Linked DNA regions of Schizosaccharomyces pombe. The gene in region 1 interacts genetically with each later gene. Each region holds a gene or a part of one and is shown in the gene's direction. Other genes may lie near its edges.

What was found. Genes that interact genetically often act in the same process or in processes that back each other up.
Region 2: mutations in rng2 (region 1) and cdc12 are lethal when combined (synthetic lethality), as found in Schizosaccharomyces pombe (4 studies listed by BioGRID, with this or other methods).

What each region holds. Positions count from the first base shown.
Region 1 is NC_003424.3:2,643,521-2,647,277, forward strand, and holds the start of rng2 (IQ motif containing GTPase activating protein), read left to right. Parts: upstream 1-1,907; 5' UTR 1,908-1,996; coding exon 1,997-3,757. Other genes in the region: hcs1 (3-hydroxy-3-methylglutaryl-CoA synthase), read left to right, coding at 104-163, 340-1,623. UniProt on the Schizosaccharomyces pombe protein: Component of the contractile F-actin ring; required for its construction following assembly of F-actin at the division site.
Region 2 is NC_003424.3:281,239-284,995, forward strand, and holds the start of cdc12 (cytokinetic formin Cdc12), read left to right. Parts: upstream 1-2,105; 5' UTR 2,106-2,237; coding exon 2,238-3,757. Other genes in the region: exocytic docking protein Mso1, read left to right, coding at 711-1,166. UniProt on the Schizosaccharomyces pombe protein: Plays a role in the cell cycle. Involved in cytokinesis. Component of the cell division ring. In the absence of profilin, caps the barbed end of actin filaments, thus preventing subunit addition and dissociation.

The sequences.
Region 1 (3,757 bases):
AACCATAACCAAGATACTTCGATAATTTTCCGCTTAGTCGCCTCACAAATAGGTTAGTGCAATCTTTTTTCAAAACCCTCACACTTTGTAGAAACTCAAGAAAATGTCCTTTGATAGAAAAGATATTGGTATTAAGGGCCTCGTGTTGTACACTCCCAATCAGGTATGTTATAAATGAGTCGCTACTTTATTTCAAAACTTCTCCTCCAAATTATTTGCATGCATTACCTACATCTTTTTTCAATAGTACAAATTTACGCAAGCTTCAGAGGAAAGTAATAGAAATACTTTCTCATTAAATTCCTTCAGAACCTGATATTAATCGTTTTTACCCTATAGTATGTTGAACAAGCTGCCCTCGAAGCGCATGATGGAGTCTCTACTGGAAAGTATACTATTGGCCTCGGCTTGACTAAGATGGCTTTTGTCGACGATCGTGAAGACATTTATTCCTTTGGTCTTACCGCTCTTTCTCAACTTATCAAGAGATACCAAATTGATATAAGCAAGATTGGTCGTTTGGAAGTTGGAACTGAGACTATCATCGATAAATCTAAGTCTGTCAAAAGTGTTTTAATGCAACTTTTTGGGGATAACCACAATGTCGAAGGTATTGATTGTGTTAATGCCTGTTATGGTGGCGTGAACGCTCTTTTTAACACAATCGATTGGATTGAGTCTTCTGCTTGGGATGGCCGTGATGGTATAGTTGTCGCTGGTGATATTGCTCTCTATGCCAAGGGCAATGCTCGTCCTACCGGTGGTGCTGGTTGTGTCGCCCTTTTGGTTGGTCCTAATGCCCCTATTGTTTTTGAACCTGGTCTACGTGGTACTTACATGCAACATGCTTACGATTTTTACAAACCCGATTTGACGAGTGAATACCCTTACGTTGATGGCCATTTTTCTCTTGAATGTTATGTTAAAGCTCTTGATGGAGCATATGCTAATTACAATGTTCGTGATGTTGCTAAGAATGGAAAAAGTCAAGGACTTGGATTGGATCGTTTTGATTATTGCATTTTCCACGCTCCTACTTGCAAACAAGTCCAAAAAGCATATGCGCGTTTATTGTACACCGATAGCGCTGCTGAACCATCTAATCCCGAGTTGGAAGGTGTCCGTGAACTTCTTAGCACCCTGGATGCTAAGAAATCCCTTACCGACAAGGCTTTAGAAAAAGGTCTTATGGCCATAACTAAAGAGCGTTTTAACAAACGAGTTTCCCCTAGTGTCTATGCCCCTACCAACTGTGGTAATATGTACACTGCCAGTATTTTCTCTTGTTTAACTGCATTACTTAGCCGTGTCCCCGCTGATGAACTTAAAGGAAAACGCGTCGGTGCTTACTCTTATGGTTCTGGTTTGGCTGCCTCGTTTTTTTCATTCGTTGTCAAAGGCGACGTCTCTGAAATTGCCAAGAAAACTAACTTGGTTAACGATTTGGATAATCGTCATTGTTTAACCCCTACGCAGTATGAAGAGGCTATTGAGCTACGCCATCAAGCACACTTGAAAAAGAATTTTACTCCCAAAGGAAGCATCGAACGTCTTCGTTCAGGTACTTACTACCTTACTGGTATTGATGACATGTTCCGCCGTAGCTATTCGGTGAAGCCTTAAATCACCGAAAAAAAGATTAGAATGCAAACTAGATACTGTTAAAATCTCTTTTAGTAGACTTTTTTTTGATACATGAATATGTGATTTTGACAACTTTTTTGTTAATTATTTAAAACTCATACGTATTGTAGTCTTAAAATGAATAACCTTCATTTGTAATAGCATAACCTAAATAATTAGAGTAAATTCGTCACTAACGGACAGTATCTTGAATTAAACTACTTACACCTAAAAACCCCCCACTCATCTTGATAACCCACATTTTCTTTGTCTGAGTAACAGCTACTCTCCACTAACATAGCCGAAAAATTGTGTGCAGTTACTTTATCTAGTTTGAGATCGAATGCTGAGTAGGTAGTCATCAGAAGTCTCAATGGACGTAAATGTGGGATTATCTAGACTTCAATCTCAAGCTGGGGCACCTGTTGGCACGAAAGGGTCGAACACTCGTTTAGCAGCCAAACAAAGAGAAACCCTTCAAGCATATGATTATTTGTGTAGGGTTGATGAAGCAAAAAAATGGATAGAAGAATGCCTCGGCACAGATCTAGGACCAACGTCTACATTTGAGCAGTCGCTGCGAAACGGAGTTGTCTTGGCTCTCTTGGTTCAGAAATTTCAACCCGATAAACTAATCAAGATATTCTATTCTAATGAACTCCAGTTTCGCCATTCAGATAACATTAATAAGTTTCTTGACTTTATCCATGGCATTGGGCTTCCCGAAATTTTTCATTTCGAACTGACTGACATTTACGAAGGGAAAAATTTACCCAAAGTTATCTATTGTATTCATGCCCTTTCTTATTTCCTTTCTATGCAGGACTTGGCACCCCCTTTAATCAAGAGTGATGAAAATCTATCTTTTACTGATGAAGACGTTTCAATAATAGTCCGTAGACTCCGACAATCTAATGTAATCCTTCCTAACTTCAAAGCTTTAAGTGCCGATTTTATGCTTCGTGCTAGTCCTGTTTCTTCTCGCACTCCTTCCCCTACACGATTTCCCAAGCATGCTCGTTTCCAAACCCTAAATTCATCAGATTCTGCATCTATATATTCGTCTCCTTATACTTCTCCTACTTTAGAATTTTCGAAGAAAGATGCTAGCGCTCGTTCAGACATCCTTAAGATGCACAGAAGGACGAAATCAGCGACACCTTCGTTAGAACAATTTAATGAACCATATAAACAAACTTTGCCTAGTCATTCAATCGAATTCGAAGACTCTTTTTTTCAACCCCCTTCTCAAAAGGGACATATGCAACGATCTTTCCTCACAACATTTTCAGCACCCACAAGAAGACGGGAGGCACTATTTTCTACCACTTCTGGACTTAGTCAGCGTAGCCCTGTCGATGAGAAAATCGTGAACGCGATTCAAGCTTGTGGTCGTGGCGTACTTGTGCGCTTGCGTTTGGTGGATATGTTACAATCCCTCGTGGAACAAAGTTCTTCTGTCGTACTTCTGCAAGCCGTAATTCGTGGATATATATCTAGAAATACATACAGAATACGAAAGAAAGCATACGATGAACTTGTAAACTGGGTTACTTCTATTCAATCCATCTCTCGTGCATATCTGATACGTGCACAATACCGTAAAGTGGTTTTACAGGAGGAGGCAACGAAGTCAATCCAAACGTTACAAAGCATTATTCGTGGGGGTTTCTATCGTCGTAAATACCACTCGTTAATAGAGAGGCTAGACTTATTTACACCATCATTTGTGTTAATTCAATCCTCAGCTTTAGGATTTCTTACCCGTCATGCAATAGTTAATATGCTTGACAACCTTTACAACTATATCCCTCTCTTTAACCGGATGCAAAGTATACTGCGTGCAAATATGTTTCGGAATGAATGGTCTAACTTTCTAGATTCCGTACAATCGTTTCCCGTTTCTTTTCACTCTATTTGCAAAGGACGCTTGATAAGGGATTCTATAAACAGATTAAATGGATCACTTCTGGGAGAACTGGATAATTTTATTAAACTACAAAATTTATCTCGAGGATTTATGATTCGTCGGGCATTTAAAGAGAAATTGGAGAAATTAAAAGCATCAACATCCTCTTTCATTGCTCTACAGGCAATTGTTCGGGCTTTTCTTTTAAGAAAAAACTTGGAAAGC
Region 2 (3,757 bases), 2.4 Mb from region 1:
GAGAGTATGATGGCTCAACTCCAAAAATGCACTCAGCTTTGTGAACGCAGAACAACTAATATATACGATATCCTTATTTAGTTTTCGTAGTGAATACATATTAAGGGCGAGGCTCTTTTTCACCGACATATATTTAATTTAAAGAAATTTTTATTGTAGATACTAGTTTATGATTTTTGGAAGACTACAAGTAGTAAAATTAAAACTTACCTAACTATTTTAAAACTACATTTTCGTAGTCCATTTAGAAATTATGTATACCTTAATTAGCTACTACATAGTAAGATTGCTCAGTATTGATTTTGTTTACCAAGCTTTTCATCGTTCATTCTTTTTTTTAGCCGATTTCATGCATCATCTTCGAGAGTATCTAAATTAAATGTTTAAATCCACCCACAAATTATTTTTATTTGTAAGATATTAATCAATTGGACATTTGCAATAAAATTATCTATTTATGTGCTGATTTTACATTCGTTAAAACATATAATGTAGTTCATGGTCGTGTTATTAATCACTTTAGACAGTTTAGCGAGTTGGCGTCTTTATGAAATCCGCGTCGCCAGATATTAAGCCGTTCTTGGCATCATAATAATGGCTAAACTTTTTTATTAATTACTTTTATTGAAATTTTTTGAATTCAAATGCCAAGGTTCTTTAAAATTTAGAGATTAAGTAGTACATAAAGAAACGCGAACTCTCGATTCATCATGTGGTCAAAGTTATCGATTTCTTCAAAAATTAATCGTATTCGCGACCCTGAAAGCGATAATACGATTGAAGATACTCACGTTGCTCGTGTAATGAGAAAATACTATATGGACAAAATTGGGACATTACCTGAATGGCTTCGTCCTCCTGGATGGCAGCCTCCAGTTAACACAGGACCTACTTCCCCAGTTAGCATAAATGCAAGTAATGCGGCTCCTTCAAATTTAAAAGCTTCATATATTCCGGCCAATCCTAGGAGGCTATCGTCCTCCACTTCCTCTGCTTCGTCTCCCCCTTTACGACGATTACCTTCTGTTCAACATAGTACCTTTGACGATTTGTTTGAAGGTGTCGGAAGTCTTCAAAAATCACCTTCCACCACGAAACCTCTTTCCTCTACACCTTCCGGCTCATTGCTACGGTCAAAATTTGATCACACTAGAAAGAAGTTTTAGTTGACACAACGATACCTTTACTTTACTCTCATTGGTATCTGTTAATGGCGTATTAATGATCAAAACGACTTTTTGTTTCTTTGAAAATGCTGTTACTACGTATGTGTTATTCTCAACCTCGTTTGTTAATAACTAAGCCCATCTTACCCAGAAGTTCGACATTTGTCAGTACAGAGGCATAATTACTTATTTTACAACTTTGAGTTAGCTCACCTTTTCTGGTTTTTCCTTTAGTAATTATTTTTGGAATGACCTGACAATAAGGTGCACTATCCTAAGCAACTCGCCTTTAGTTTGAGAACTATCATTTAGTCTAATTAAATAACCATCACATGTTCTTTATGTTTCTAACCGGATTGTAGCTTTAAAAATTAAACTGTTCAAAAAGCGCTTGGTAGAATTAAAGCTAGTAGCTGAAATCAATTCAACATTATAAAAACTTATCGTTACATACAGCGCATCGTATAGGTTTCTTTAATTTCTAACTCGAACACTTAGGGACGAATTGTGAAAATTCGTTATTGTAATTTAATATGGTATGTAAATAAAAGCACCAATGGATTCGTTCTTGTGATTCTCGTTTATTTGCAAATTTCTGGTTATATTTAGCTCAACGTGACAACAAAATATGTTACGAATGCTTTGTAAGTAAAAATGATCTTCACGAATGTATTTTCTCATTGAACAACGTTTTAAGCAACCAGAAACCGCATCCAAATGCAGACTAGACTTACAAGACGAGAATTTCGATTATCCTAAAAATAAAATTTAATACGCTATAACGCAATTTAACCATTATAATATTAGATATATCGAAGTTTCATTTCCTTTCAACTTACTTGTTCGCAAGTATACGTATTATCTTAGATCATTTAAGCCATCCCAACCCTTACTCGCTAAGTGTTCCACTTTATCCAAATTTGAAGGTCAACAAGTTCTGAACATCAACTTTTAGCAAATTTAAAAAAAAGGTTTAATTGAGCTAAAACTTTTCATCACAGTTTCCTTGTTAATACTTGAAAACAAGATCCTGAAAGCAATTACAATGCTGCATTCGTTTATGAAGTAGAGATGCGAAATTCGTCAAAGGGACAGGACCCTAATTTTTCTTATGACTCTATTCTGTCTACTCCAACTCCATCAGCCAGAAGAACTATTGGGCCAAGGGCTCCTAAGTCCAAAACAACGTACCATAAACCTCCATCATCCATAGAATCAGTATCGACGTTAATCCAGCCTAATAAGTCCCAATCAGTTACTTCTCCGTATGTAAAGCAATTTACCTTTTCATCGAAAGAGTACAATTCTCATAATAAACATGCTTTGCAAAATTCCCAGCTTCCTTTACCTAAAACACCCGAGAAATCTACTGTCCATCGACCCAAAGCGAATAAAGTTGAAGTCACTGATCTACCATCTTCGTCTTCCGTTGAACATTTGCACACTTCTAAACATCTCAAGGGTCCTAGGTTGCCCAAAAACATTATTAAAAGTTCTGAGGATGTCCAAATTGCTCCAGTGACACCCCCTGTACATTCTCGCTCTTTTGATCCTTTGCCGAAACCTCCTGTTCCCTCAGTTCCAGTATCTAAGACAAAAAGGCGAACTAAGCATAAACTTGCTCCTGTTGTTGAAGTCCCTGAGATTACCAACGAGGTTTCCCCAAAATTCACTTCTACTAATGATGAACAAGTTTATCGACTACGTTCAATTCGAGCTGGGAGCCCTAATTCGGTATGCTCGTTTCAGTTTGAAATTCCGAGTACTCGACCACCTTCATTGGATCAGCTAATACATCTATTCAACGATTTTTTAAGACACCCTGTATTTGATTTTGACGAAAACGCCATTGAAATGCTTCAAAGTTGTACTCCAGATGAAAAGTGGTGTTTTATTCGTTCTAACTTCGCCGGGTTTGATGATCCTTCTTTCCAAATTCCAGAATTAGCTGCCGTCCATAGACCTGTTTCCTGGTTCGTAATCCAACTATGGAATAAAACAATTAGTAATTTACAACTTATCACACTTTCTTCTTTATTATCAACTCAATCCGATCGATGGATATCTCTTTTTCTTGAACTGCAGGGACTTCGAGCTTTGCATAATCTACTTACATATTTTAATTCGTCTGCCGTAGTGCAGCCTCAGCAAGCTGAAGTTCCTCGTTGCATGCTTACTCTTTTGAAGAAAAAACCTACTCTGGTTACTTCCAATTCTTATATATTTCAAGCAATAACAGTGACCCTTATATCCCCAAATTTGCTTCCGAGGAAAGTAGCCGCAGATTTATTGACATGGGTTCTGTCTTTAAAGGAACCTCTTGTGGTCTCCATATTGGAAACTGGATTTAAAGAAATAAATGCCGAATATGAAAAGGAGGTTCCGCTATTCTTTGGATGGATAAAATCTTTCAAAGACATAATCTTGGAAAAAGAATTAGCACGAACCCCTCCATCTTCTCCTGCTCGAAATTCTGCTTCCAGCTCACCTTCAAACATAGCGTTTCTTGAGTATTGTACTTCCACTATGGAATTTATCAATCAGCTAATTGTTGCTTGCGAAGAATTGGAGCAAGGATTTGACCTTGATAT